Linked DNA regions of Lytechinus pictus. The main gene of each other region encodes a partner of the protein of the gene in region 2 in a complex. Links are inferred from orthologs where the notes say so. Each region holds a gene or a part of one and is shown on either strand. Other genes may lie near its edges.

Evidence for each region.
Region 1: HEAT repeat-containing protein 3-like (region 2) and ribosome production factor 2 homolog share a complex: the UniProt entries of both Homo sapiens proteins name them as parts of the hexameric 5S RNP precursor complex. The link is inferred for Lytechinus pictus from reciprocal best matches to the Homo sapiens genes HEATR3 and RPF2.

The regions. Positions count from the first base shown.
Region 1 is NC_087248.1:10,398,056-10,414,391, reverse strand, and holds the start of ribosome production factor 2 homolog, read right to left. Parts: upstream 5,942-16,336; 5' UTR 5,613-5,941; coding exon 5,599-5,612; intron 1-5,598. Other genes in the region: osteopetrosis-associated transmembrane protein 1-like, read left to right, coding at 6,043-6,540, 7,422-7,524, 8,156-8,262, 9,492-9,617, 10,611-10,773, 11,105-11,181. UniProt on the Homo sapiens protein: Involved in ribosomal large subunit assembly. May regulate the localization of the 5S RNP/5S ribonucleoprotein particle to the nucleolus.
Region 2 is NC_087246.1:37,177,799-37,193,123, reverse strand, and holds the start of HEAT repeat-containing protein 3-like, read right to left. Parts: upstream 7,815-15,325; 5' UTR 7,705-7,814; coding exon 7,549-7,704; intron 4,486-7,548; coding exon 4,313-4,485; intron 3,868-4,312; coding exon 3,780-3,867; intron 3,116-3,779; coding exon 3,003-3,115; intron 2,418-3,002; coding exon 2,308-2,417; intron 910-2,307; exon of another isoform or gene 758-909; intron 1-757. Other genes in the region: importin-4-like, read left to right, coding at 8,091-8,156, 13,550-13,636. UniProt on the Homo sapiens protein: Plays a role in ribosome biogenesis and in nuclear import of the 60S ribosomal protein L5/large ribosomal subunit protein uL18 (RPL5). Required for proper erythrocyte maturation.

The DNA.
Region 1 (16,336 bases), on a different chromosome or scaffold from region 2:
GAATATTGTTTAATAAACACTTTTTAGTATCAAATTTTAAGTTAATTTTATTGAAATGGTGTTTGCAATAACAAATACACATATGTGTTTGATTGTGGATGGCCTGAAGTAGCAGTTAACTTCAATTCAATATCATTGACTTGACTTATATTTTTCAACTAGAGTCTATGTACATCTACATGCGCATTTTACCAAACTCTTATTTTCATCACAATCCAATCAGGTACGGGAATGAAGGACTTCTTCTGTAGATATTCTGGTCTTCACTTAGGGCATTTGAAATTTATCTAGATGGTTTGAACTTAAGCTTTACATGTTCTAACTTTTACACCTAGACATTTGTGTCTGTGATTGTGATTGTCATGATTGATGTTCTGTTCTAAATTTTTATAATTGATCACATAATATCAAACTTCCATTTTGAGGCCCTTTTTGGCAATTGGCATAGTTATAGTATACCCATTTAGTCATGGCATGGCGCCGATAATGATAAAAAAATTATGACACTGCCTTCACCATGTTGACAGGGTCGGAGTCAGACTCGGCTCAGTAAATAAATGTCAAGAGGGTTGTTGCTGTCTCTTGCAAGTCTTGGCCTGGCAGAGCAGAGTTAGAGGGGCTTCGCGGGGTGACCAGACGTCCCGTATTTCCCGGGATCATCCCGTATTTTGCTCCATTGTCCCAGCATCCCGACAAACCCTTCCCGGGACGCCTATTTGTCCCGTATTTCAGAATATTGAACAAAATATAATTAATACATAGAAAAGTGAATAATTTTCATCAAATAACCAACAGATGACGAAGCAGAGACAACAATAAAATCGATAACTGTAAACTTTTGCAAGTTCTGCAGTCCGGCTGCGGTCATTTTCTTGCTACCCATTACAGTGCAAACAAGCATACATACATGTACTAGCTGCAGCATGCACGTGGCTTGCACTGGCCTGCTGCATGTGGTAGGATCGGAGCGGATTCTCATTGGTGCAAACAATCTCAACATGACAAACAGTTTTTCCACCAAAATAATCACAAAATCGGCAGGAAATTTATATGCTTTATTATGGATTCTCAGATTACTGATTTGGTGTTGTAATCAGAGGAGAAAGCCTATTATTTGAGTTTTCATAATTAGATCTAGTTATTAAAGCTTCTTGAGTCTTGTTGTGATCGGTGCGAACTTGTAATGGGATGAGAGATGCCTGTGTGTGATGCCACGATGTTTCATCTAATTTTTAAGTTTAACAAATTTTTTTCATTTCTAAAACATTTTGTTTTTAAAAGAATTTAAAATATATAACAAGAGGAACGCCTCTGGCAGTCTCGCCTGCATTACGCGATTTAATAGAGCAGCAGTGCTAACTTTGAAAACTACTATAAAATAATCATTAACAAAAACACCATTCATATCATGACATAATACCACATTCATTGACCATAAATGACATTTGAATGGTGACTTAAGACTTGTCAACTACACTCATGTCCACATTTCATTCACTCTATTCTATCCATAAACTATCCAATAGTGCTGTTGTCGATAGGCCTCATATCGACATTGATGTCGACATACAAAGGATTTTCAATGTTTCCGACATGTCGACATGCACGCACCCACATCGACATGTAAACATAAAATAAAAAGGGGTCTAGCCTAAAGTCACGAGTGTACAGCTTAGCTGAAAAGTTAGAAGCATTTATCCACAGTAATTGGCGCGATTAAAAGGTTTATTCAGCTTAGCAGCGCATTAAATGAAAAAAAGAATACCTGCAAGCTGCGCGGCAGCAGAAATACGTCAGTGCGGGGCCGGCCTGCCCGATTGAGCCGCCCTCGATCCCGACGATCACTCTAGATATATATCTAGCGCTATAGCGAGCGTAGCTTAGTAGCATTCACCGTACCCATCCACGGAAATATGTACCCATCGCTATTCACCGTGCTTGATAATACGTTGCTCCTCAATGCATTACTTTTCACATAAAAACGTGAGCAGCAGCGAACATGTGTTTTTGTCAAAGTTGTGACCGCCGCAATTGAGCAACTTTATATCACGAAGTCACAGAAAACTTCCCTTCCTTCGTTTGGAGATCGTTGCACGGATTGCCGCGGAAGTGATACTGAAATTATCGGTCGATTTTCATTATTTTTTATTGTCACTTTGAGGAGCTTGCGTTTGCAGCACATGTGTACCAGCGTATAATACGCAATGATCACTGTTGTAATTGGTGATTCTCAAATTGGCTCCGAGTGTTATTGCGCAATGCTTTCGAGACCGGATCGTGGTACAAAAACTTGATTCTCCAGAAAAAAATGTGGATTAATCGGTGATTTTGGAAGTGAATTCACTCTAGCTTAGTGAAAATGTTTTCCGAACTGAGCCTGTATTATATAGATCTAGATCTAGTGTGGGGATATCACTCGTGTCAAGGTGAATACATTTGATTAAGAGTGTTATGTTCTAGGATCGAATGATTTTTTTTTTAATGTTAGGAGCCTAGGCTAAATTACAGTCCCTTTTTCATGTCGACATTGTCGATGTCGGGATTAATTTTTAAGCGACAGGTTGACATGGATTTTTGTTCCCGACAACAGCACTACTATCTAATGTTATGATGGCAATTCAACAATTACCCAAACATGGCCTAAGTTTATTGACCTTAACTGACCTTTGACCTTGGTTTTGTGACCTGAAACTCACCGGGGATGTTCAGTGATACTTGATTACTCTTATATCCCAAGTTTTATGAACTAGATCCATAAACTTTCAGAGTTAGGATGGTAATTTATCAAATACCCCCAATACGGCCAAAGTTCATTGACCTTTAATGACCTTTGACCATGGTCATGTGACCTGAAACTCGTAAAGGATGTTCAGTGATACTTGATTACTCTTATGTCCAAGTTTTATGAACTAGATCCATAAACTTTCAAAGTTATGATGGTAATTCAACAAATACCCCCAACTTGGCCAAAGTTAATTGACCCAAAATGACCTTTGACCTTGGTCATGTGACCTGAAACTCAGGCAAGATGTTCACTAATACTTGAATAACCTTATGCCCAAGTTTCATGAACTAGGTCCATATACTTTCTAAGCTATGATGTCATTTAAAAAACTTAACCTTCGGTTAAGATTTTGAAAATAATTATCCCAACATGGTCTAAGTTCATTGACCCTAAATGACCTTTGACCTTGGTCATGTGACCTGAAACTCAGGCAGGATGTTAAGTAATACTTGATTGACCTTATGTCCAAGTTTCATGAACTAGGTCCATATACTTTCTAAGCTATGATGTCATTTAAAAAACTTAACCTTCGGTTAAGATTTTGAAAATAATTATCCCAACATGGTCTAAGTTCATTGACCCTAAATGACCTTTGACCTTGGTCATGTGACCTGAAACTCAGGCAGGATGTTAAGTAATACTTGATTGACCTTATGTCCAAGTTTCATGAACTAGGTCCATATACTTTCTAAGTTATGATGTCATTTCAAAAACTTAACCTTCGGTTAAGATTTGATGTTGACTTCGCCGCCGCCGTCAGAAAAACGGCGCCTATAGTCTCGCTCTGCTATGCAGGCGAGACAAAAACCCCACAAATATGATATCATTAAGATTTTTGTTAGATTGGACTTTTATTTGTTTGCTTGAAGTTTGAACTTTTTTCCTCTTTCTTTCTTTTCTATCCTTTCTTCATCCTTCCTGCTTGCCTTTTTATTTTGTTCAATCTTTCCTAGCTTTCTTTCATGATCCTTTCTCTCTCGTTCATTTTTCTTTCTTTCCTTTCTCTTACTTTCCTTCTTTTTAAAATTTTCATCTTCTATTTCCTTCATTCTTTCCTTAAACTTTTCTTTGCTTCCTCCTCCCTTCATCTCCTTTTTCTTTTCATTCTTTCTCTCTTGCCATTATTTTCTTTCTTTTTTCATTCTTTCCTCCATCTTTCATTCTTTTCTTTTCCTGTAACTGTATTCTTTCTTTCCCTTCCTGCTTTTCTTCTTTGTTTCTTTCAAAGAATGAAGGAAACATTTTTATTTCCTATAATTCTTTCTCTCCTTTATTCTCTCTTTCACACAACTATTCCTCTTCCCTTCCTTTCTTTCTGTATTCATTTCAAAGAATGACGGAAACCTTTTTCTTTCTTTCATCCTTGACTTTAAATTTTTTTTTTTTTTCCCTTCATTTTTTCTTTATTTCCTCTCAATTTATGTCTTTTCTTTCCTTCCTTCATTCTTTCGTTCACCCTCCCTTCCTTTTCTTTATATTTTTTTTCACAGGTCTAACATTGTATAGCCTTCTTTGTTGATTATTCTTATTAAGACCTGGCTCAGTCGATCCAGCTTGCAACGCAACGCGGCATGCTTTGCCTTTGTCGATTGTCCCGTAATCCGTATTTCATTTTGTGAAATCTGGTCACCCTGCCTGGCTGGGGCTTCATCATGTTCGTGAAGTGGTTAGGTTAGCGGACAATAAGCTCAGGACACTATCTGCAATTTAGTCAAAACAAGTTAGACAGACGGTTTCGAGAAACGGGCCCCAGGCTGCACCCAGCACGATCCCGACTAGACAGGAATAACCGTCGTTTCTGGGGATTTATTCAACAATTTCTGACATTTTACTGTAATCCCCATTTACCGACGGTAGGGTGTACGTGTGGGCTCGCATGTGTTCTCATTCCCTCCCTTTTGTCAATTCACAGTCCAAAGTTTGATGTAATTTTACACATCGAATTTACAATCTAAGGATGTATAAACAACAAACTTTTGAACCTTGATATTCCAATATTTGAATACTTTAAACGATATAGATGAAAAAGGCATGAAAAATATACTTTACCGATGTTTAATTGGGTTGAACACGATAAAAATGGTCAAAATGGCAGCCAAACTATAAAATATTTACAAACGAACGTCAACAATCACGAATGTGATATCGATATTGCTTTCGATATTATACGATCTGCTCCATATGCGAACGAAACCGAAGATAAACGATACTAGTTATACTAGTACTAGTACTAGTTATAATCGCGATATATCGATTCGAGACATTAAGTTAATAACGATAATGACGTCATTCAAGATGGCAACTTGCAAGAAAAACCGTCAGGTCAGGTGAAAATGTCTTAGATGACAGATTTCTCAATCATCCAGAGGATTTTTTTTCAATAACTCCGGCCCAAGGTATGCAATTGTCTTAAGTTATTTATATTTCCCTGATAATGGAAACCATGAAACTTTCAATTTTGCTTAAAAAACAGTTTTAAATCGCGATCTATAAAACGCTAGTTCACTATACGTTGGCTGTAGGTACGGGGCCCCATCCCCTTCAGTCTATGTATGGTGAGTGGAGCCAACGTAGTTCAGCGGAACAACCAAAATACAGAGACTGAAGCTTTAAGTTTTGGTCTAGATCCCGACCCGACCGACGTGTGCCGACTACCAGACCCCCGCGGTCCCGGGCCCGGGCTGCGCGGCGACGACTGTCCGTGGAGCTTGATATCGAAGAAGGCGTAAATCAAGGTAAACAATAAACAAATTGTGATCATATACCTAGTAATTGAACGATTCTTTAAAATTGAATTGATTAATGTTCCTTACACTATCCGGTGCATCCTCCTGGCTGTAGTAAAGTAATTTATTCAATGTTGTTTTTTAGCGATTATTAAGGGTATTCTTGAGCTCACACCGCACTGGCACACACGTGGAATTGGCCTAGGCTTTGTTCAATAAGATTTGAATCGAATCGGTTAGTTTATTAAAATTGACCTATTAACAAAGATTTAGTGGATTGAACGCTTTTTATGATAATAAAAAGAATGTTAAATATTTGAAAAGACGATATAATTAATAAGAAAGCACGATTTTAATGAAGCTCATATCAATAAATAAAGGTAGTAAAATAATGCCTGAAAGACTATTTCAGTCACATGATTTATCACATGACTCAACAGCAGTGGACCAAAATGATGGGGCCTTGTGGAATGGAATACACAGCTCCCAGAACTGTTCTTGAATGAATCGGATTACTTACTTGTGACAATTATGGAGCCATTATTTTTCATATCATTCTTGTGCGGATCCATCATATTCTCAGCTTCCATCATGTCCATCTCGCTTTTTTCCTTGAGCTTGTTGTTGCCCTCTCCTCGGACTCTTGTGGCTGCTGATTCGGCGGACAGTGACAAGTGGATGCCGGGGAGCACCAGCGGGGATCTACATTCCATTTCCCGTGAAGAGGGCTCTTTATTCGTCAATCCACCTGGCTTAAAGTTAAACTCGAATTCACAAGGACAAGGTCAAGCAGCCATTGATCATTTGAATCCTCTTGCATGTACTCAAGAACATATTTTAGTTGACATTGACAACTTGCCTGTGGATTTTACGAAGTGCCATCACAGAAAAGAACTATTGAGTGCATACAGCAATGCTTCCTCAGCATTCATTGAATGTGCAGTTAAGAATGCCAAGCCGGTTTTGTATTGTGGACAATGTGTATTGGAGTTTGACTTATCAAGGAAAGCGTGGAGTAATATTGAAAATGTAGGCTATATTACTTTATTGTCTTTAATTCATAAGTGTGCATTTTACTATTATTTTGTTCATTTTTATGCTCGAGTCTGGGAATTTAAATGTCAGTGCGCAGCTCGGTTGGTGTTGGAGCTGTTGGCGCTCTTCAATCTGTGTAGATTATCTGCGCCAGGTCATTTCCAAGTTCCAGATTTATAAGCGTGGATGGATTTGCTTATTCCCTTTTGAATGTCCTTGGCATTCTATCTAAAGACTAGTCTGACCTGTCAAATAGCCATGTGCAATATAAATTATGATTAGTTAACTCTACCATTATTGTGCATCTTTGTGCACTCATTCAATGAACAGGGTTATGATATAACCTTGTTCTCTGTTGTTAGGACTTCCTGTGTGGGGAAATAAGGCTGGCAATGTTTTATGTGTTTTCTCTTGTTCTTGGGTATAATAAGTATTTTTTGTTACAAAACAGAAGTGATATACTGCATAGATCTACATGTATGTAGATTCACAATAGGCAGGGTGGTTGCAGTGAACAAGTGTGTCAGTAATGCTTATATAATGATGATATGGTTTTATTGTTTTATGCCTGAATATGGTTTTATTGTTTACTCCTGAATATGGTTTTATTGGTTCTTTTTCTTTCTCACTATGGCAAATGCCTGCAAAACTGCAACGAGCTGTCTTATACACAAGATATACACCTGTAAATCAATAACTTATTTCAAATAATTATTCTGCACATTAAAATCTATGTACAAACTAATAAACTGTCAAGAAATTAATAATACATGTAAGTATTTTTAGTTCTAAGCAAAAAGAAATGGCATTAAAAAAAATCAAACAGGCATTCCATTAGACTAGACCATGATTCACAATTTGTATTTCCCTTACAGGATGAAGAATGCAAAGAAGATATACTTGTTTCTGATAAACTGCAGATTGTGAGTCAAACACAAGCTTTCCTCACTCAGCTGTGGCGTGATGGGAATTGTCAAAGTAAGTTTTCAGGAAACATTCCGGACATATCCCCTCCACCTGGTAGAATAGGACTCCATGTGTGACTGTATTAAGATATTTGGTAGTTTTGATAATGAATATTTTTTTCCCTTCTCCCGCCTTTTTTACCCTTTTTGTTTCTCTTTCAAATATTTCCACATCACACTTCTCTCCCCCTCTCTTTTTCATTAAATCTCTCTGTTTATCCCTTTCTTTCTGCATACATGTACTTTCACTGTATAAGTTGCAAGGGCATTTCATTTCTGATGCAATTTAATCACGTTATACTGTCATCCTGTAAGCAAATTTTCATTTTCATTCAGTTTATATACTCTAGGTAGTTTGTCCTTACAAGTTTTAACCATAATGTACATCACTTAATAACAATAATAATAATACTCAATTTTTATATAGTGCAAGTTACAGTTAAGTCTCTGAGCGCTCAAAGTCTCTAAGCTCTCAATTAATTACTTGATAGAGATATTTTATTTTTATTTATTTATTTACTGTCAGTTAAAAAACATTACTTTTGATTCCTTTTTAATTACGTGTACACAAGACTAAATTGTTATTACTTTTCCATTCTTCCTTATCAGTTATACTTTTCTTCTTTACACTGCAAACTTTACAGATTGCTATGATGAAAATCTGAATTTTAATGCAACCAACTCAACTCAAGAATTCCTCAAGAACTATAATGACACGATGACCTGCTTTTTGAACAATGGCGGATGCTCTGTAAGTATTCTTGAATGAGATAATTCATTACTATTTTATTTTTTTGTCTTCTTCCTCTTCCTCTTCTCCTTATAAATCCTCCACTTCCTCCTATTTATTTTCTTTCAGTTTCTTGTTCCTCTGCTTCCCAACTTCGTGTCATAGTGTCAATCTATAGAATATCTGCCTGATATTTCTTATTACATGGATACTGAAAGTGGATAAAATGGCAAGAGCACACTCTGATTATCAATTTAATTTTTCTCCTATTATTAAGTGTAATAAGTACATCAATGGCACAGAGTATAATGTATGTACCAGATAATTCAATTTTAGTGTGATAATAACTAAACTGGGTTGCTTCATTCCCCCACTTTGTACATTTACTGTATGTATTCCCTTTCCAATTTAACATTATTTTGCCCTGTTTGGAAAAATCTGTTCATGGTTGTGATTAAAAATACTCATAGCATGTCAAAATAACTGACCCTCTCATCGAAAACAGAATAATAAACAAAATCAAGATTTAAACTAAATTAAGTTTACATGGAAAACCCACATAGCTTTGAAGAACTTTCCAGTAAATTTTCAATCACTTCATTGGTTACACAGTCATGCTTGTAACATTCTCATTACAAATGAAAGTTTTGCACCTACTTATCACAAGCTCCCTGATCAGATTCAGTAATGATTTGGGGGCAGATTCACTCCAACAAACAGTCGATTTGAATGAAAAGAGAGAGAAAAAAATGAAACTTGGATGTAAAATAAGAAACTTACAACATTTTAAAGTTTTGCTTAATTTCACGCTACCCAGTAGGAAGAAATCCTTTGAATGCTCAGTGTACTCGATCAGGGATAATTAATAGTATGCAGCACTAGCGTACTTACGGGGGGGGGGGGGGGCAGAGGGGGCAGTCTGCCCCCCCCTGACGAGCCACAACCCATGCAAAGGACGTATCCCTGCCCCCCCTGACGAGCTTGAAGACCTTTATTGCCCCCCCCCCCCCTGACGAGCTTGAAGACCCTTTTTTTTTTTTTTTTTTTTTTTTTTTTTTGCTTGTCAAATTTTTTGGCGGACGGTTTTGCTCCCCCTGTGAAAAATCCCAGGCACGCCACTGGTATGCAGCACTTAGAAACATTGTATTAAGCATTATATTAATGTTCCACGTTATTATTATTATTTATTCACTTTACTAAGTGCGTATTAAATATATTATCCAACAATCTTTTTGATGTTCATTTCACAGGATGATCCAGTTCCAGTCGACTCAAATATGACGTTATGTGATAATTGCAGTGAAGAATATGACAGACTGAATGCCCTGTACAATGACATGAGCGACGACCAACTTTGTATGGACATCATAGACTTGGTAAGCAATCTAACTGCTGTAAATGAAACTCAACTTGAAATGCTGGCACATGTTCTGGATTCTGGTCTAATTCAAATTTTGGTCTAAAGTTGTGGTTTAACTATGGAAAGCCAATAGTGACACAAATCTGTGAGTGTCAAGATATGACTCTCAAATCATTCACAACTGTCTAGGAATAATAATTGAAGCACATGTAGCTTTCGTCACCATCAAAGCATGAAGAAAGAACATCCACACATAAGAAACATACCATGCAAACATATTGCTCACCTTTTGGGCTTTCCGTATATTTAGCGCAGAGCTAGACCATTGCCTAGATATAGAAAACTTGACTTGGAATACATTCATACAAAGAGAATATGAAATGAATGTCAATGAATAATTTTATCTTTAAAATGTATAACTTGTTAGTATATGAACATTGACTAGGTTTCTATATGACCATGGGTCACTGGAAGTACTAAAAAGACATCAAATCACAGTAGCAGGGGTTCACTATTAGTTCACTTGTGAGTGTGTACATGAACACTTCTTTGGCTAAGTGTGTAAATGTTCCCTAAAAGGAATTTGTGTATCCTTGAAAAATGTTCTAAAGAAGATAGTCTGGGATGTACTTCTAGTTAACTATTGTGTATTACATACAGGCCAAAAGTTTACATACATACACCCATGAAATTCAGTGAAATTTGTTTGCTTGCCAAACATCGTAAAATTTACTATATCTTCATAAATATATATACTACAATGACAAATTTGGTATCAAATGAAAGAGCGTATTAAGCTCTTTCACATGGTTGGGATGACAAAGCAATGTGTTTGATATCAAATTTGTCATGATAGCACAAATATTTTATAAGATACAATAAATTTATGATGTTTGGCAAGTGTCAACTTTTCTTTGAATTTCCTGGGTATATGTAAACTTCTGGCCTCAACTGTATCATCTTGAAACGTGCTACATTGAAATTTATTTTGCTGTTTTTCCTTTTTTAGATGAATCGCACCCGCATCATGTGGAAAGATAATCAATGTCGGAAGATAGAAAGAGAGTTTTTAGCTGTAGTAACCCTAAGCGTCTTTGTCTGTATATTGCCATTATTCTTTTACATTACTGCAATGCTGCATGGGACCAAAAAACAACAAAGACTTGTAGAAAGTGAGTACCATGATTTTTTTTTTTAAACATGAACATTTATTTATGAAGAAACATAGACATTCATTGTGAACTTTGATTTGTTCATTGTTTTTGTACCAATGATGGTAACAATGAATAATCAAGATTATGCATGTACTTAAGGGCATAAACTCTCTTACAGATGATTATTGCCTTCATAGAAGGATTCGGTCAGTTCCCCCCCCCCCCCCACCACAGCCCCAAATACAATATCCACTCCCTGGGGAGTATTTTGATAAAGGGCTAAATAATTTTGCATCATGAACTATTAGAAATAGAATAATTTGGTCAATATTTTTCTACTTTTGTACAGAATCCAAAGAAAGGAAACGGAGGTCACTATCAGCTTCAGCAAGACTCTATGCTGGGACAACAACTTCCCTACGCTAATTAATTTATGTTATATGCCTTTAATTAAAGACTCCAAAGGAAATCAGGAAATGTCACCTCGATGACATGTTAAAGCATCATACTTTATTTTTGTTTGAGACAAAATACAAGGACTCGATAGACTTTGGAGGCAAAACAATGTTATTAGTATACTGTTAAAATTGTCTGTTAAGGCCACTCATGCAAAAAAGAAAAAGTAGCCACATTCCTTTTAAATGGAAACAGTTTTGATGGCCATTAAAGACAGGTTTCTGCTATAGATAGGAAGCTGCTAAGGCAGGTTTTACTCACTTGTACTTCAGCATTTATTAATCTGCCTTAAATTTGAGAACTTTCCATCTTGAGTTTAATATTAAGCTTTAAAAAAATGAAATATTATGTAAGTCAAATATATGACATATTAGATACAGGAGCGGATCCAGGGTGGGGGGGGGGGCGCCCACCCCCCTCCCATATTGGGGCAACCTGCAGAAAAAAGTGTCCTTATTAACTTAAGAGAAACCTTCGGTGCATGTTACGGGGCTTTCTGGCCCCCCTCCTTCCAAAAATTCCTGGATCCGCCCCTGATGTATGTATGTATTTAAATCAAATATGTAATCATTGTTTGTTTGGTAAAATACACTGCTATACTCAGATTGTCTTCATTTTATCATCTGCCATTTGGAGGTAAGTTATATGAAATTAAGTAAAATTCCTGCATAGCTTTTGTTTTCTCCTAGCTGCCTTTCTATTCCCCATAGTACTACTCTTTGTCATTGGTGTGTTTGATTCCATATACCATAGCCAAACGCTAGGTAAAGTAGCACACAGGTGTTGCTAATGAGATTGTTCAGGGGATGGTTTCATAAAAAGTTTTGTCAGTGATTTACTGCAAATCCCTGCATCTGATTGGTTGAGGCAAACTAGTCACTGAGAAACACTGACTAACAGGGTTTTTGTATCTTTACAATTTCTCTCCCAAGTCTCCAATGCAGCATTTGCTCCACTCCTTACTTAATATATATACATGTATGTATATTCTTGCAATGATTTACATACTGTTGTTGTTTATTCTTATGAAGAGAGATAATAAAGAAGGATTTAATTTATAATAGTATAATTTTATATTAATCATAATGATTATGATGATGATGATACTACTTCTACTAATACTACTACTACTTCTACTACTACTTCTACTACTACTACTACTACTACTAAGTACTACTACTACTACTGCTGCTACTACTACTACTACTACTACTACTACTACTACTACTACTACTACTACTACTACTACTACTACTACTACTACTACTACTACTACTACTGCTACTCCTACTGACATTTTGATATTTACATATATGTCAAGAAGATATGTGCATTATTTCATATTTACTGAAGCCTGTGTCGGACTATATGATCTGCTCTGATCTTATTTTGGAAAATAACTTGCAGACAGATGAACTTGTGGGTGGCCAAGCTCAGCGGTATGCAACACAGAAGAATTTGGTATTGTACCCTAATTGCATAATGGTAGATATCTTGATAAGTAACGAACCACTTGGCTCCCGTCTGACCTAGAGGATTACAATGATTTTGAAGCTAAATAATTGATTTGACTTTGAATCCTTGACAGCTTGCACATTAAAATATACTACTTTTCTGTTTGAAAAGACCAGTGAACTTTCCCTATGCATTGAAGTAGTTAACATTTTTTTTTTACTCCGCTTACTGTATAATTAAATGCGTAGATCATAAAATAGCATTAAGCAAACAAATTGTAACATTAACATAACTTTGCAGATGGCACTCATATGACACATTGTGTTGGTAGTGTCATTAAACCTCAATCAATCAACAAAAGTTATAAAAACTGTCTTTTAAATCATTTTTTGTTCACAATTTTGAATTAAAAATTTATTAATACAGTGGATTGTAAAGTGTGAGGCAGGCTTGAGTTTGAAACCTGAAAATTTGTAATTCATTTAATCTACATTGTTGTTCAATCCATGTAATTGGACAAAAATGTTTGGAGGACATTTGTTTATCATATAAATATTACTGCAAAGTGGTCATATTTAATGGAATTTTCCTATTATTCTAAGTTTTGTTTTCAAAGGATTTGTTTATATTTGGAGGAGGTTTAGCCCTCTTGTAACTTTGTATTCAAATGCATAACCATGATTGTTGAAAGTTCTGCACTAAAAGTGGTCCTATTTAAAATTGATCGTGAACATATAATGTATATGGTTTAAGGGAAAAATAATTGTTTCAAGGGTTACAGCTCGTTATTTTGAAGGTTTATTATTCCAAAATTTTATTCGTCCAAATTAGGGGGTGGGTTTGAATATGGACTTGAAATTGAAATAAAGAGTGATTTAGTTTTATTGGCTCTACAAGTAGTTTGCAGTCAAAGTGCATACTTTAGTAAAAGGTGTACTTAGAATGCAAAAAGAAAATGGGGCTGTTTTTTTAGGATGCAATTTACGCCCATTTTTTGTGAAATAGGGGATACAGTGGCTTAAATAATAACACTGCTAAAAGGGGCTGAATTCTGGGGTGCAGAACGATCGCTGTCACATCTTTGAGTATATGGTTACAACACGGGATCCTGTTTAATAAAGGCTTGCTATAATAAGAAATATAAATGTACTACCAGTCAACCAAATTGAATGATTACAGTAGCTTTTAACTGTTATGCAATTTTTTTTATTATTATAAAAAGTTCATGAAACAGGCCCTGGAAGTTCGGGGGCCCCATTAAAAAAAAAGACCTTACCACTAAGGTAACCTTTGTAAACTATTATGGAAACCTTTATTTGATTGCACCGTTTCCACGGTACTTTGATAATAATGGCAAAGTCACCATAATTGGAAGTTCTTTGCGGAATATGTACCCAACATTTTTTAAATTATTATATCAGTCAGGAATTTGCAATAACCACTCTTGGATTAAATTGAAACTTATATAATATGTGTATTGAAAGATGAAATTTATTATACGATTTTGATTTGGTAAGTAACCTATATATTGTAAATCAACCATTGGAATTGGGACAGGAGGCTTCATGCCACAGTAATTAAGTTAACTTTTTCTGTCCCTGGCGTTCCACTGGTTGATATTTCTTATTTTGTATTGTATACATTGAAATGTATTTTTGAATATTATTTGCCGAATAAATAATAATAATAACCTCAGATATTTTTGAGAATAAAATTTTCAATGATATGCAGAATGCTCTTGGCTTTAAATTAATATTGATTTTGTTCAGTATTCTGATTGTTTGTGCAGTGAAAATGGCCCTATATAGTTTCGGCTTCAGATTTTGGTATTCCCTCCCGGACCCAGTCCTCCTCTCCCCGCTCTCTTGACTTCTCGATATCTCCCTTCTCTCCTCCCCCTTGTAATCACTCCCTTTCTTTTGTTTCTTAAATTATAAATGATTAAAACAGGATAGAAATCAAACGCGATTCACAATGTAAACATGTCTTAGACATAAGACAATGATGAGTCATACAATCATTATCAAATCCAATGAGTTTATGAAGAATATTTCACATTTTACACATACTTGATAGAATCAACCATGAATTATTTTTAGTAGCATATATTTATTCAATGAACTTGGTATAAATGAGAAGAAAGAATACAGATAAAAATAAAATATAATTTGTTAACACCATGCAAAAACCTTCGCAGCGAAATGAGATCAAAACGTTTAGAATATACATGGACTGACTCTATTCTTTTTAGAACATTTATCAGCCTTTCAATAAATGATAATCAATAGAATATCTTTCTTCAATTTTATGCATAAAGTAATGAACTGTATACATGTAGAGGCAGCAGATCAGAGAAAGTAACAGAGGGCAATTTAAAGGAATATTTTTATTATATTATGTGAAGTATGTTTCGTATATAGCTCGAGTATGATATATCGATTGATTTAAAAGCAAAGTCCATAAAAAAGGACTTCAAGATTAGTTGATAAACTGTAGAAAAAACAGACATTCCTATGGAATTTTAATTGAATTTGAATGTAAAATAAAGTTATGATTTTTTTTCTCGAAATGTGCTTATTTTCACAAAATATATGATATGCACACCTTTCTCCTCCACCCCCTTATTTTCTTCCTCCTTCCTTAATTCTTTCCTTCTCCTTCTCAATTTTTCCGTCTTCTTCTTCCTCCTCCTTCTTCTTCTTCCTCGTCTTTACCCTCTTCTTCTTTTTTCTTCAATCAACACATCACCATTCCCACATTTGAGGCCATACCTATAATTTCTCTATTTTTTAAAATGCTTTAAAAGGGCGGCAGGCCTACATTTCTTGTTTTTGTGCGCTTAACTAACAAACTCTTGCTTTTGTGCGCTTACCATGCTTTAATAGTATAGGTTGTCTTGTTTGATTTCTCGTGCAATGTACAATATAAATATATATCAACATTTCTCTTTCACATCAACATTAAAAAATAGATAATTCTGTTTAAGATATCAAATACGTTGCAGGAGTACTCAGTCACGGATATAGTCATGAATTGTATTATGAGACTAAAACATGTTAGATTCGTACATATAGATTTTCCTGAATAATTTTGCGATTTCAATTGTATTTTCCGTTTTCAAAGTGTGTTTTGATAACGGTCATTATAACAAGTATAACATGTAATCTGACCCTTTCCTCAAAGTCTTTCCCCGCTTGCAATGGCAAAGTGCCAAGTGTTAGATTGTTCAATTTCATTTGGTTTGACTGGAATCCCGCATGCTTTATATTATATGATTTACTGATTTACCTTATTTACAAACAAGTGAGAACACTAAACGGATGGAATGACATATATACATACATTTACATATACCCAGAGCTATATATTCTCCCTTTTGAAAACTTGTCTCTTCTGGGAATCGAACCCGGGCCACCAGCTTAGAACGGCGCGCGGTGCCTCAACCACGAGACCACAGAGACGGGTTACTACATGGCCAGGGCAAAACCGATCTGGTTGACATTCAGACAAATAGTTATAATCAACCTCACCTATTATTTCATTTGTCTGGTGTAGATAAGGTTTCTTTTATCAATGACAAGCCGCCATGTCTCAGCTGGATCAAAGCAAATTTTTCAATACAGTACAAGTATAGACTGATTCAGGGGCGGATCCAGGATTTGTCAAAAGG
Region 2 (15,325 bases):
TTTACAATTACATCATCAAGTAACACTGTTGAACATAAATTATGCAAGATTCTATCTCAAACAAACTGACCACTCCGAGACATATATGAATGTTCAAATAAAACTTTGTATGCTTCTCCCTTATATGATGTGTACTTCACCCAGCTAAATTTTAAATGCAATTAACTAATACTGCAGTGCTAGACATTTATGAAAGTTCAAATGAAATCTTCTCACTCACATTATCAACTGTGCACTGCTGGTTGTATAAAATCAATCCTCAAAAAGGACCTCACCCAGCAAACAGAATTGCTTGGACATTCACACAAATCACAAGCACTGCTTAAATCAGACTGTCCATGTGCGTTCACTATTACAATCTAATCACTTAACGAATAATCAAACGTTCTCTCAATGGGTGAGCGTCGGTACGAATGAACAACACAAAGGTCATATCCCAAACATGTCCGGACTTGTCGCAAACTACACTATATGAATGGAGAACAGAGCTTGAACCAAGATTTCACTATGCAAGTATCTGAATGTTGGACTGTTATTTCATGTGACTAGTTTACAGGATCAGACCCTTGTCTACATTTGAAAATTGGTTAATCTATTTGATGATTACAGATTTCTATTAAAATTACATATTTTATATAACGTCTAAAAAAGAAGTAGGAAAATCAGCATAAATGCGGTTTTCTCATAACTCTACTGCAAATTATACATTCAGTGTCAAGGACAGAGGCCTTGTATGGCAACCAAGGTCTGAAGAATCAAGACTAGGCTGAGCGCATGTGCGAAATAACGAATATTTAGGAAAGCTATGAAAATTAGAAAAAGGGAAGGCTTGCCGAGTCCTTATTTCAATTATTCACTGCCTCTCTTAAAAGGATTTATAAAACCAACCTAGAATACTTTCAAGACTTGGTGAGTACAGAAGATTTTCATAAAGGCTCTGCAAATTAAATTGAATGCTCATATGTTTGGTACCTAAATTGCACATTGTCTGCACATGCGGCCAGCTTTGGCGTATAGGTGTATGTACATAAATGTTTAAAGCAACTTGTATAAATCTGTCTACTTCTTTTTATATCAGGTGAAATTAAATAGCTTTTTCTCCTGCTTTTTTTTCCCCTTTGTATTTATTTCCACAAAACCGCCTTCTGTTCATTCAAATACAGGTACCTCTTGGGTCTTTGTTCTTGGAAAGACCTTTTAAATGGAATTCTTGGAAATTAATAACATGAACCTAGCTGATTGTATGAGGAATATTGGACGATGCACATATATTTACAATCGATGCACTATTTCACTGAGAACATGTCTTTATTGTGAGAGGTTCAACTGTCATATTTTTCAAGCAGAAATAGCCCCCTCTACTCTGTGGGTCTATCATGTATTATTCTGTTCAGTAATTGGGAGCTACCTACATGCATACCTGTGCACGAAATGACCTTGGATTAGGTACATGGCTACTGGGCACGACACAATTTCAGGGTTATTTATAAAGGAATTAACTATGAATTTCAAGAATTTGATTAACTAGTCATTCATTCCATATTCATATGTTTGTGTCAACTTTGCATGATTCATTCATTTATTCAACAATTAATCATATTCATTCAGCCAGTCAATTGTCATTCATTCACAAACTCATGAATGATTTACTCAAACATAATTTCGTCAGTCACCCATTTATTCATTCATTTATCTCATTCATCACTTTATCAAACAATCATATTATTCATTCAGTCAGTCGGTCATCCATTAATTCATTATTTGTTTCATTCATCACTTTATCAAACAATTAATCATATTATTCATTCATTCAGTCACTCGTTTATTAATTCAATTAATCAAATTAATTAATCATAGCATTCATTTAGTCAGTAAGTCATTCATATATTTATTCGTTCGTTTGTTCTTTCATTCATTCAAAATAAAGTTGATTTGAATGGAACAGAAAAACCTTTTATAATCACATTCATAGGAATCTGTTGCAAAATGTTCATGCATTCTAATGTTTCTTCTTAGTTTCACAAAACAGTTATATAAATAACATCCAGGTACTAATTAGGTCACACACTCACTATTTCATTTATAATTCATACTATGGCCAACAAGCTAAGCTTCTTAGTTGGTCACTGCATTTCATTTCCATCTTGTCTCATGGGCATTATACTCCTTGATCAGAAATTTAAAGGAAATATAACATAACATACAAAATATCACCTTGTTCATAGCAAACAAAGGAAAAGATATGCAGGGGAAAAAAGAATGGTTGGCATCTCTTCAGTTTCATGAGAGGGTGTGAAATAGACGTACCTGCACAGATGGCTAAATCCACCATAGTTGGGTAGGCTTGAAGACAGTGAAGGAAGACTGTGACTAAACCTTGTTGATTAGCTATGGCTACTGCTGTACTATTACTCTCACTAAGAAAGGAGGAAAAAGTTCAAATCACAATCATGAACTTTCAAAGAAAACTTGACAACTCACAACTGGAATGAAATGTTATTTTCATTTCATTTTTCAAAGACTTTCTTTTAATAACAAAAGAAATAAAAAAGAGAGACAGACAGAAAGATAGAATGAATGAAAGTAGAAAAAAATTAAGAAAAGATAGCATTTAGAAAGAAACACGGGGGGGGGGGGTTAGAAGAGGAATTGTTTGACCTCTGACATATCATCATCACCATCCTCATCCCAACCATCACCATCCTCATCCCAACCATCACCATCCTCATCCCAACCATCACCACTCCATCATCGCAAACACCACCACCTTCATCGTCGTCATCATCACCACCACCACCACCACCACTACCGCCATCACCACCACATCAATTATTTTCACCATCACCATCATCATTTTCATCCTTATGATCATTGTGATCATCAGGATCACGATCCTCACGATCCTTATAATCATCATCATCATCACAACCACCTCAATTATCAGTATCATCATCATTCTCTCCACCTCATAAACAGTCCTCAATGAAATCTAAAAATCTTACCATAAATTCCAGACAAGATGTACAGCTTGCACTAATGCTTCTAAACTTGAGTCATGCTGAGGCATCTTATTCTCTTTATGCTTTGCAGAGGTCTGTGGAATTCCATCTGAATACTAAACATAACATTCATTGGCATAAAACAACTAAATTGCAAATGAATATCTTAGTTCTAGCTTGTATCATAACTGTACTGCTCTTAAATTATCATGGCATGAGCAGTTTGTACAGTGAATTAAAACTGGACAAAAATGGAGGTTAGACAGGTCTACAAAAAGGTTGATCATTTTATGGGATTATAACAGATTCAATGTTCATCATCTGATGTTGTATGCTTGGCTGTCAAGTTTACTATTCAAGGAAAAGTCTCATTAATAACTCTGAAATGGCAAATAAGTAGATTCTTCAACATAAATGACATCCTCATCTAACTTTCATGACAGAAAGACTAAGAGCCTGCTCTTATCACATTCCAACAAGGTCAATGTCTTAGTTGAAAATTCATTAACCTTTCATGATACTCTATAGCTTGACAACTGATCTAAAATTTGACCTGAGCCTGCCAACAAAATATAAAAGAATATTTTAAAAAATGAAATAGATAAATGAATTAATGAATAAATCAATCAATCAATCAAAAAATAATAATAAAAGAAAATAAGTGAAATATCTTTAATACATAAACTAAAAACATTGACTCTATTTGTTGAGTTGTTTGAGGACAAAAGCCATAAAGAAAAGTGTATAGAGTATACAATAACCTTTGACATGGATTCTTACCTGAAGTAGGAATGCAACTAGAGGGGTCATGATGTCTTCATCTATCATATGGTCACAAATATCATGTCCACCTGCTACAGTCAGATTCCTGAACAATATCAAGAAAATAAATTAATATTTCATTATTCACAATAAAACAATCACTTGTGAATTTACAACATTTGTAAATTTACTAATTTGAATTTACAAATTTGTAAATTCATCAGATTACAAATTTACAAAATGCATATTTTCATCAGATTATTTATCAATCCCTATCTTGAGTCTTTAATAGCAACAATGATTTCTGCGTTCAGAAAGTTCTTTGGTCGATTTTTGTAAGAAAATTGACCCCTGAGTGCTTTGCAATTGCATTATAATTTAAGCCACTAGTTTGTGAACTCTTTAACTTTGAAATAAACCTTGGAAATTAGGACAATCTGCACACAGATCCTAAATGCAAGTAAAAATTACTTCTTCTTTTTTTCTGAAAGAGAGAGAGTGAGAGAGACAGACAGGGAGAGAGACAGACAGAAATATACAAAGAAATTTACCTCAAAGCTCCAGCCGCAGCTTCTCGGATACCTGATGATGGGTCAACGAGAAGAGGCCCAAGGCTACGCACTGCTTTCTGTTGGACCAAGGTCTGCAGTGCTTGGGGATCCTGGACCAAGTTTGCCAGAGACGTGCAGGCACATTCTCTCTCCTCAGCCGAGCTACTTTGAAGCTGAAAATGAAGACAGAAAAAGTTGTCAAGTTCATCCAAAGAGCATGCATCTCTGACAGATTGTTGCATATATTCTTCTCCTTCACCCATTTTTAGTACTACCATTTTTCTGCATTGTTTTTTCATTCGGTTTTCCAATCTGCTGGCCTGGACTGAAGGAGGAAACAAATTTTAAAAAAAAACATCTTCCAGACGTATTTCAGCCGACTACTACTGACCAACATGACATTTACCAAGTTCACAAATGATCAAAGACAATACACCATGTATGACTCACATTTTTTAGACTGATTAACATAGATGTGCTGGTCCAATAATTGAGATAGTGCCCCAAAAAGAAGGATATCCTCATAAAATGAGACAAATCGTGTCTTGATAAATTGAGTTTTTTTTCCCACTTCTCCCTGCGCAGCTGCAGGACATAAACCAAAATTAAGGGGATTGAGTGCTAAAAATAACGTAGATTCAGTGACCTCGATCCCAACAGATTCAATTCACCATATATTGTTTAGGACTTGCCGTCTTCCAATAATCTTGTTAGACACCTGATACTGTATGTTTACATTGACTTGTGCACTTGATAAGTGTCAGCACTTGACAGGTGATTGAACTTTCCTAAAAATTGAATTTGTAGACTGTAACATTAATCAATTAGTTTGATTGAAAACTGAGAGTGAGACAGTAGGATCCACAATGAGCGCTAATTGGCGCTATCGCGGATGTGCACGAAATTTGTATGTGCGCGTTGGGCGGAAGAATCCACCATGATTGTACCCCTGTACGGTGAATGCAGCGGATTTTGATATCAAAGTTAGCTTTAAAATCAAACGTAATCCGCTCAAAATGAGCTAGATTTGTCAATTATTCTGAGATATAGATAGCTTATTTCATTCTTTTCTAATTTTAGGGGTTTAAGGTTCGATATCATCAAAATCTCAAGATCATTGTCAAAACTTGAATTGTTGAAGTTTCGGTGTATGGTCGTGAAAAGCCACACTGTGCAGCACACAATACATAGTAAAGCCATAGACATAGGCTTGCATTATGAATTTTTTTTTTAATGGATTTTCGCTAGCATACGACAATGCTTACACACGAGATAACTTGTATACTAAAAACGTGCGTGCGACACACAGCTGAGCAAGCTAGGTCCTGTTATGTTTATTTTTCAGCACATAAAGATGATCTATTTTGCTACTTTTTCAGAAGTTAGATATGGAATTTCTGAGACTTTTAAGTAATTTTCATTGTGTTTTAGGTGTTGAGGATTATTTTAATGTAGTCTACTAGACTATATATGACAAATTAAAAGCTTATTATCAGTATGAGACAGTTGAATTTATTATCTAATCTAATTGTTAACTGAGACAATTCAAATCAGTAGAGGCGCTGGTCCAAAAATTGGGATTGTCCCAGAAAACAAGAATATACTCATAAACCAAGACAAATCATGTCTTAATAAATTGAGACTGTCCTTGTTTATGGGGACATTTTTTTTTCACTTACCCATGCGGGACAAAGACGGCAATTTCGGGGATTGAGAGTGCTAAAATTAGATTCAGTGACCTCAATTCCCCCCAGTTCACTGTCTTTTCACGATATGCCGTCTTCCAATAATCTTTTTGTGAAACTCGATTATATGTTTACATTGACTAGCGCACTAGATTGGTGTCGGCACAGGTGAATGAACTTTCCTAGATTTCTTGTGTGGTGGAATCTTTGAAAACTGAGATAGTCCCTGTAAACTGGGACGGTCCCAATTTTCTGACCAGCGCCTCTAAGTTACTGTAAATGGAGGGCCGAGGCCAAGGGTAAAACTGAATACAATTGAGCTAAAATTAGAGCGCTCACATGGACAATAATGAACATAATTAACCGTTTTGCTATAATGGGCATTCTGATTTGGGCCAGCTACAAAATACCTGCAGAAAGTCTCATCCCAACCGCTCATTTAATGAACAAGGTTACTATTCCCTGTGGTTGGCAATGTTTGGCTTATTTTCTCTTGTTTCTCTTGACAAATGCTTGATTTTTTTTTTACACTGTCATTTTCCATTACAACTATTCATCATATAACTTGGTTCTTAAGCCCAGAGGGGCCACTTACATTGATGATTGGATACCATGCGCGACCACAAAAAACATGTAATAAGGATCTCTTTTTCCAAGATAGGGCATGTTACGTATGTAACGTAATAAGAGTGTCAAGACCACTAAAATAATGAAAAAAGGGTATCTATTTCGCTAGGAAAGCTACGTCAAGGGTCAAATTTGCGTGGGTATAAAAAAGACTAAAATGTTTTATAAAGGATGTACTTTCTGCCCCAACAGTCAACACTACGTGTACGATTTACACAAGCTGGTGCCGTACTATAAACCCAATGATGTAGGTAAAGGTAAAACTTAAGACTGTGACTTAAAAATTAAAACATCGCTGTACTTATTTATTTGTTTGACTGCATGGCCCCCCCTCCCCCCCCCCCCCCCAGGACTTGTTAAGGGTAGGGTTTCACATGCCAATACTTGTTAGGGATGCATTTTCAGAATTTGGAAAATACTTGTTTAGGGTGCTATTCGAGAATAAATGGTCGCGCATGGTATCCACTCGTCAATGGAAGTGCCCCCCCCCCCCCCCGGGTTCTTATTATCTTAAAAATTGAAGTCTTTTATTCAAGTATTTTTTCTGAATTAAAAAAAGAGATTGAAAAATGACAATTTTCTTAAAATTTTACTTTCTATCAATAGAGGGCCTGCACAAATATATGCCAAAAATTCAAGTTTTGAGCGCTCCAGAGTCCAGGTCCAGTGACTTGTGTCACTGTCAGTGAATAACTGATCCCCATGGCCATGACAACTGTATGGTTTTTAAAGTGGCATTTTAATGAATTTTTAAATGTGAATTGTATACTGCAGTGATCTACATAATTTAGATTCCCCACACTCAAGGCAGGGTGGGACGTGGGAGAAGTGAACAAGTGACCCCACCCGACCCGGCCGCAATCACGTCTCTTGCTCTCAACCACTCGACACACACAAAAACTACCGGGGCGGGGCCCCGCGCACCTTCTCCAACACTCCGACTGTCTTCAGCTGTACGGTGTCCGAGGAGGTCGTGGACGTGCCGAGTTCTTCTTCCTCTGCTTGTATTTCCTTCACACTCTCCAAACCAGTCGGCTGTGCCTTCTTTGAACGGAATCTCTTATTCTTCGATTTTCCCATATTTGATGCGACGAAACCTCCTCAAAGTTACAATCTTACAAAGTCTGAGAGAAACACGTCAGTGTCAAAATAACATTAACCATGTGGACATAATGACCTTTGAACTGTTCAGACGTAGATGTGTTACCAGTTGTTTTATTGTTTGTCGCTTGCTTTACACTTACACAGTGCATGTGCAAATAAGTTCCGGTTTCTCATTTTTTCTTTGAAGAGTCTAACTTACTCATCACACCCGTGCCATGCATGCACACTTTCATTCATTTTACGTGGAGAATTGGCAGAAGACGGGGTTGGGAGCGCACCGTAATCGTAGGAAGTGCATTGGCATTAGATTTTAGAGTAGACTTGAGTTTGTGTCAGGGAAGGACGGAGCTTAGCCTGGGAAAATGTCATCAGCGCTTGAACAAATTCTTCTGAAACTTCTTGTGCCTGACAATGTGGTAATACAACAGGTAAGGACTACACTGCCACTGGCAAGCAACGGCTAAAATTAGTAATACGCCTTTGCCAAAATTGCTCAGACTCAGCAGCTCAGACTGACACAGGCCATATCCCTGGCCCTGGCCTGGCCTGAATCCTGATCTGCTGATTTTGGCTTTTTTTGCATGATGATTTGCAGCAGAAGCCGAGGCTGAGACTGAACTATGAGTATGTCTGAGAGTGAGACCAAGTACAGCTGATTTTGCTTCTGTGACTGAATGATGATGGTGATGGTGATGGCGGTGGTGATGATGAGGATGTTGATGATGATGACGATGATGTCATAAATATGAACAGATGAATGATGATGTGATGACGATGATGATGATAAATCATAATGGTGATGGTGATGATATTGATAATGCAGATGGTGCTGGTGGTGGATATGCCTATACCATGGAGCTATTTGTATAGTGCTAGTCATGTTTAACAATTTATTTTTTACCAACACTGGGTGGTGATGTTGATTAAAAATTAATCTTGAAATAATGTTTTTTTATTTATATTTTAGCTTTGCCAAAGGTGTTTAATGTTTAGATCTAAATTCCTGATGAAACTTCTTTGTTGAAATTTGGGTGAGAGAGTTAGGCCCTACTTTCTTTTTCTTCAGATCTCCACAGTACGAGCAGTATCTACGACTATGTTCTGGATTCATTGAAAATACATTGTAACTGAACAATATTGATTGCAGGAAGATTTTTCTCTTATTCTACTGAGGGGTGGGTTGGGGATCAAAATAAAGGCTACTCACAATAAATGTGAATGCTTTTTTGAAGGTCAAGTCCATCACAGATTGATATAATTTTGAATAGAGAAAAATCAAACAAGCATAACAGGTCGCATGTCATAAAGTGGTCCAATTTTGCGAACAGGGTAAAAATGGTCGAAAAAGTTATTTTTTAGGTATTACCATTCTTCAAATATTGAAGGAGGATTTTATCCTAAAATACCTTTATTTTTCTTAAAATGACTCATTTTATATCTAATACATTGATGTCAATGTAAATTTGAATTTTTAAATGCATTTTTCTCAAATTGGACTTTCTGCACAAAAAATGGTGTAAAAAATTAATGCTACATTGGATCACCCTAGTATTTTGTTATTGTTATTGTTATTGTTATACCGATGTTATTTTGCAGTTGTATTATTTGAACATCAATGCTTAATACATCCATAACAAAAAAGTGGTAATCTGTTATTGCATGCATATTAATTACATCTAATTTTAACAATGTTTAATTTTGCAATTTTTTCCAAAAAAGTGACTCTCAGCTCACCCTCACATGCCTTGCAAATTCACTACACCGTGAATAGAAAAAAATGTTGTTTTTTTAATGATACAAGACTTTAAAATAGTATAAATTAAGTTTATAAATTAAATAGTTAACAATATTTTCCTAAAATTTACTAATTAGATAGGATTTACTAATTACCGGTAGATAGGTTGCAGATTGGAGCTAAAATGCACATGTACATGTAGCTAATTCTGGAATGTTTTCAAAGTTGTCAAATTTGCATAATTTAAACTGGCTAGAAATATGAGTCTGACAGTCAGTATACATGTACATGTACAATTGTACATATTATGACATAATAGAATGTATCATGGCACAATAATGCATGTTTTAGTTGTTATTTAAGTTAATTAACTTAACATAATTTACCTGCATGCCTATATCTTTTTTTATGAATGTACTTCAACTTAAAAAAGTGATGCCCAGAGTCTTTAAAATAATTCTAAAGTGAAATTAGACTCAATCAATATTGAAATTAAAAGAAATTAGGGAAAAAAGGGTTATTGAATGTATATATTGGATAAACTTTTCCTACTTAATCGAGTGTATTTATTAGGAACATCATTAATAATTTAACTGTATAGGGACATTGAAATACAGTAGTTTCAAAAGTTTGTTTTGACATTAAATTTGAACTTTAGTTTGTTTAAGTAGTGACATTTAACTAATGAAAATGCTGTAAATGAACAAAAATGATGCGTTAAGCATCACATTACAACAATATTATCATTCACCGCATCCACCGGCTCTGCCACCCCTTAACTTCAAACTTAATGTGCTATAGTTTTTGTTGCTGATATTGTATTGATCTAATTTGTAGTAATATATTTACTATTTAGCCTATAGTTCTAGCTCCAAAAATGAGACCTTACACAACAAATTTGGCCATGGGGCTGTGATGTAGGTACAATTTATTATTTGTTCATCCGCCACCCTTTTTGCATACCCAACTTATGAAATGCGACCAACACTGAAAATTTCATTACGATCGGATGTAAAATAGGAAAGTTATGATATTTTTAAGTTTTTCATATTTTTCACAAAACTCAATGACATGCAAATGAGAGTCGATGATGTCTGGCACTCACTACTTCTTTTGTTTTTTATTGTTTGAATTGTAAAATATTTCATTTTTTACAGATTTGAAATTTGACAATAAGGTTCAACTCGACTGAACCATAAATGGTAATACCACATGCTAACAGCTCTGGAGTAAAGCTTTGTTTCACATAATCACATGACAATGAGGAGAAAATTAGAATATTACATATTTCATATAATAAATAAAATGCATCATTATGCATGTACAAAAGAAGTAGTGAGTGGGTGATGTCATCAGTCTTCTCATTGGCAGGATGTGCATATAATTTTTTTTGTGAAATCAAGGGAAGCTTAAAAATGTCAAAATTTTGTTATCTTACATATGATTTTGTTAACATTTTCAGTGTTACACTTGTTGGATTTTTTCTTTTTTTAAAGTTTTTTTTGGGGTGGACTTTTCCTAAGTAACTTTTCATTCTACATGTATATTGATATGTGAAACTAACTGAGAAACTTCATTGGTTCATTGTTTTGTTTTGATAGACAACCTGAGGATGATCTGATCACCTTTAAAGTAATAAATTTATGAACGATGATAAAATGATGTTGGAGAAGAGAGATGATATAAGGAGAGGGGGATGCCCCTTAAAGGTCAACTCTACCCCAGAAAATGTTGATTTGAATCAATGAGAAAAATCATAGAAGCAGAAAGCTGAAAATTTTATCAAAGTTGGATGTAAAATAAAAAAAGTTATGACATTTTTAAGTTTTGCTTATTTTTTCAAAAAACAGTTATGCACAACTCAGAGACATGAGAGAGTAGATGATGTCCCTCGCTATTTCTTTTGTTTTTTTAATGTCCGCATTATACAATATTTCAATTTTTACAGATTTTACAATAAAGATGAACTTGACTGAACCACAAAATCTTAAAACAATGGTAATCCCACTTGTTCAGGGAGGACTTAAACTTGTTCACAATGAGGGGAAATAAGAATATGTCATATTTCAAGTAATAAAATACAAAAGAAATAGTGAGTGGGTGATGTCATTAGTCCCCTCATTTGCATACCGACTAGGATGTGAATATAACTGTCTTGTAAAAATAAGCGAAACTTTAAAATGTCATAGTAACTTTCCTACTTTATATCCGATTTTTATGAAATTTTCAGTGTTAAGCATACCCGGTATTTAATTTCTCTTTTTTGTATTCAAATCAGCTTTTGGTTGGGTGGACTTGTTAATGATTTTAAATTTGATCTAGAAGTTGTATCCACCCTTCCTTTAAACTTGTTTTCTTATCTTGTTGTTGTTTTTTTATTATCTCCAACACCTTCCATCAATGTATTTTATGATTTCACCTAATTACATGTATATTCAATTATGTTCACCAAACCCTTTTTATCATCAAACATATTTTCTCACTACTGGTTTGGGGGATTCATGTATTCCTATATGTATTCCAGATAAGTTCGCTTGTTTGTTATTGATATGCTTTTTATTTTTGTACTTAAATATATATGAACTCTCGAACTTTGATTCCTATGATCAGAGAAGCAGACATTCGTTGAAGCAGTTATGAATAGAGATTTGGTTTTGAAAATATGAAAATAGCAGAAAATATGGTGAAAGTTTTAATTTTTCATCCAATGAGATGTATAGATCTGAAGTGGTCTATTTTTTTTTTCAAACTTAATAGCTGTGATTGTGAATACAGAATATTCAGTTTCACTTTCTGAAACATTTCATATTTAAATTTTGTTTTTTGTGTACATAATTGATTTTCATGAATTTATTCAGACTCACATTCTATATTTCAAGCTTTATTATGGCAATTTGTTTTTTGTTGAATTCCAATGGTCCTCAGTATATGGAACTTTTATGGAAAGTTAGAGATGTAACTTGAGAGATTGTTAGGTGTTGAATGCCTTGATCTTTTCCACTTATTACAATTTTTATTGCAATTTCACTGACTTGTACTTAGTTTTTTAAAGGAAAATCATTAAGAAAGAGGAAGTAACCCATGAATCCACACCTGATTACGAACATATGTTTCCATCCTGTTTTGTTTCAACCATATTTCCCTTTCATTTTATTATTTTATTAATCTAAAGTTCTGTTTCAAAGCTTAAATTATAATGTGAAAAAATGAAATGTTTGAAAAACTATAGATGTCATAAAACAAAATGTGTGAAAGGTGCAATAAAAATGATCACATTTTATGATTCTAATTTGCTTACTGATAATCGATAATTATATTTTTTTCACTACAAAAACTGTACTTGGCATTACCCATAACTTTTTTCGTCATCTTTCTAAATTTCCTTTGCAGTGATCTGAGTATTTTTTTTTAAATGTTCAATTTCATTATTTCCACATGCTACCTCATTCCCTTTTTAATTTACCATGTTTTTGTTTTCTGATTCAATCCCTCCCCCACCCCATTTCGATGTGCTGCATCGCTTACTCATTTTCTTTCCTTCTCTCTTTCTTTCTCTCTTTCTCTCTTTCTTTCTTACTTTCTTTTTTTCTTTTTTACTTTCTTTCTTCCTCTCTTTCTTTCTCTCTTTCTTTCTCTCTTTCTTTCTTTCTCTCTTTCTTTCTTTCTTACTTTCTTTTTCTTTCTCTCTTTCTTCTCTCTTTCTCTCTTTCTTTTTTTCTTTCTTTCTTTCTTTCTTTCTTGCTCTCTCTCTCTCTGTCTCTCTCATTCTTTCTCCCTTTCTTTTTAATTTTCTTTCTTTGTTTCCTTCCCTATCTCTTCCACCTTGCTCTTTTTTATTTTCATATCCTCTTTTTTTCTCATATCTCTTTCCTTGTTTTCTATTTGTCAACTTTGTTTTTTTTTCCTGCCATTTCCTTCTCTTTTTGTTTTTCACTTTTCCTCTTCACCTTCTTCCTCCTCCCATCCCCCTCTCCCTCATCCCCGTTCCCTCCCCTTATGTCTTCCTCAACCCTTCCTTCTCCCCTCCCATCTTCCTCTGCCCCTCCTCTCCTCCTCCTCATCTTCCTTCTCCTTCCCCCACTGCAGGGCACAGAAGAACTGAAGCAAGCTTTGAAGAGCCCTGGCGTTGTGCCAGAGCTATGTTCTGTCCTTACGACGTCTCAAAACCCACAGGTATAATTTAGCCCTTTGCTAACCTTCTCCTTTCCTTCCGCCATTCTTCCTGTCTTTCCCACAAACTTCATAGACATGAGATGTTCACATACATGAAGATTTAAGGGAAAACATTAATCTTGTATGCTACAATCGGTTAAAGGTATCACTGATCAGAGCCCAAAAAAGGGGGGAAAGTTGATAAAACTAGCATTTCTGCAATGCCAGTCTTGAAAATCTTGCTTTCCTTTACTAAAAAGGAAAGTTTTGTGTTTTGTTTACTTATAGTAACATTTTCTCGTTTGAATTTGAAGCAACCTTAACTATCCTGTTTTCTCTGTTAATATGAGAGGGAATAATATACTTAAAAGGTAATTATCTTTTTTTTTGCATTATTTCATATTTCTTCAAATTCCATGTCCCTGATTTTACCATAAATTCTTCCAAGCTTTATAAAAAATGCTATGTGACTATGGGGACTCATCTGTATCAATAAAAGACTCAGAATTTATTTGATTGGTAAAATTTATACCCTTTTCAATACATTGATTTCCAAACATTTACCAAATGATTCGCCCACCCCCCCAAAAAAATACTCCTAATATAGGCGGGGGGTACATTAAATGCCAAAATGCAACAACTAAGAAATTTTCCTTAATTATAAACTATTTTTATTCTGATTTCTGGCATTTTTTTACCTCCTCAGCATTAAAATTGTCACATGAATTCCACCCACCAACCAGCAAAGACCACCCTGTTCAATGTATTTATCAGGTTGGAAATGTAAGCAGCAATATGGTTGTGTCTGGTCCCCACCAGGCCCTCCTCCCGGCCCCCCTCCTCCTGAGGACTAACATGTACATATACCAGTGTTATATTTTGAATAGTAATTTTGAAAATATTTACAGTAGCCCTATTTAGAGAGACACAAAGTTCGAGAATTCTTATTCTCCGATTGGACATTTACCCTGATCTATCCCGATCAGGAAAGTACATGTACCAGGTATTTTTGCCAGTATGAAAGATAATTGTAATTTTTCTCAAAGAAGATACTATTAGTGTTACAACAACTTTCACAGGAATTTGGTTGCTGGTATTCCCATAGTTTGGAAGCAAATTACATAATTTTCTCATCCTAATGAGCAGTTGGGTGCATGGGCTGTAGAAAGCTAGCAGTTTGGAATCAGACCAAATCAGTAATACCTCGGTCACATTTGCTCTATGGCGGCCGTACGGCGAGTCGAAAACAGCCGTTTTATACATTTTTATTCAAACCACCTGTATGAAGCTTGTACAAAAAATTTTAAAACGGCTGTTTTCGACGAGGTCAAACTATGCTGAAAATAATTTGAGACTTGAACAAGTTCTCCTAAATTTATGGGTATTCTATTGTGGTGAGTGTGCTATCGAGTCAGTCTAGATATGCTTAGTATCTCTTGCTTTTCACTTGTATACATATCCCTGATTCTGCCTTTAAGCCGTCTGAGCTTGGCAAGGCAGGTTGCGAAACCTTTATTTTTGATGACTTCATAAACTTTTCTCCTGTTACCACATGGATCGGATTAACCAGTGTTTTCCCCCTCCCTCACGTTGACCCAGTTGCCATTTTCTCTCTTGGGGCCCAGCGCTCAGATTATTTGTCTTGAACTAATTGTCAGGGTTTTCATCATAAAGTGGCATGCTTACATGATTTCTTTGGTCATAATCTGT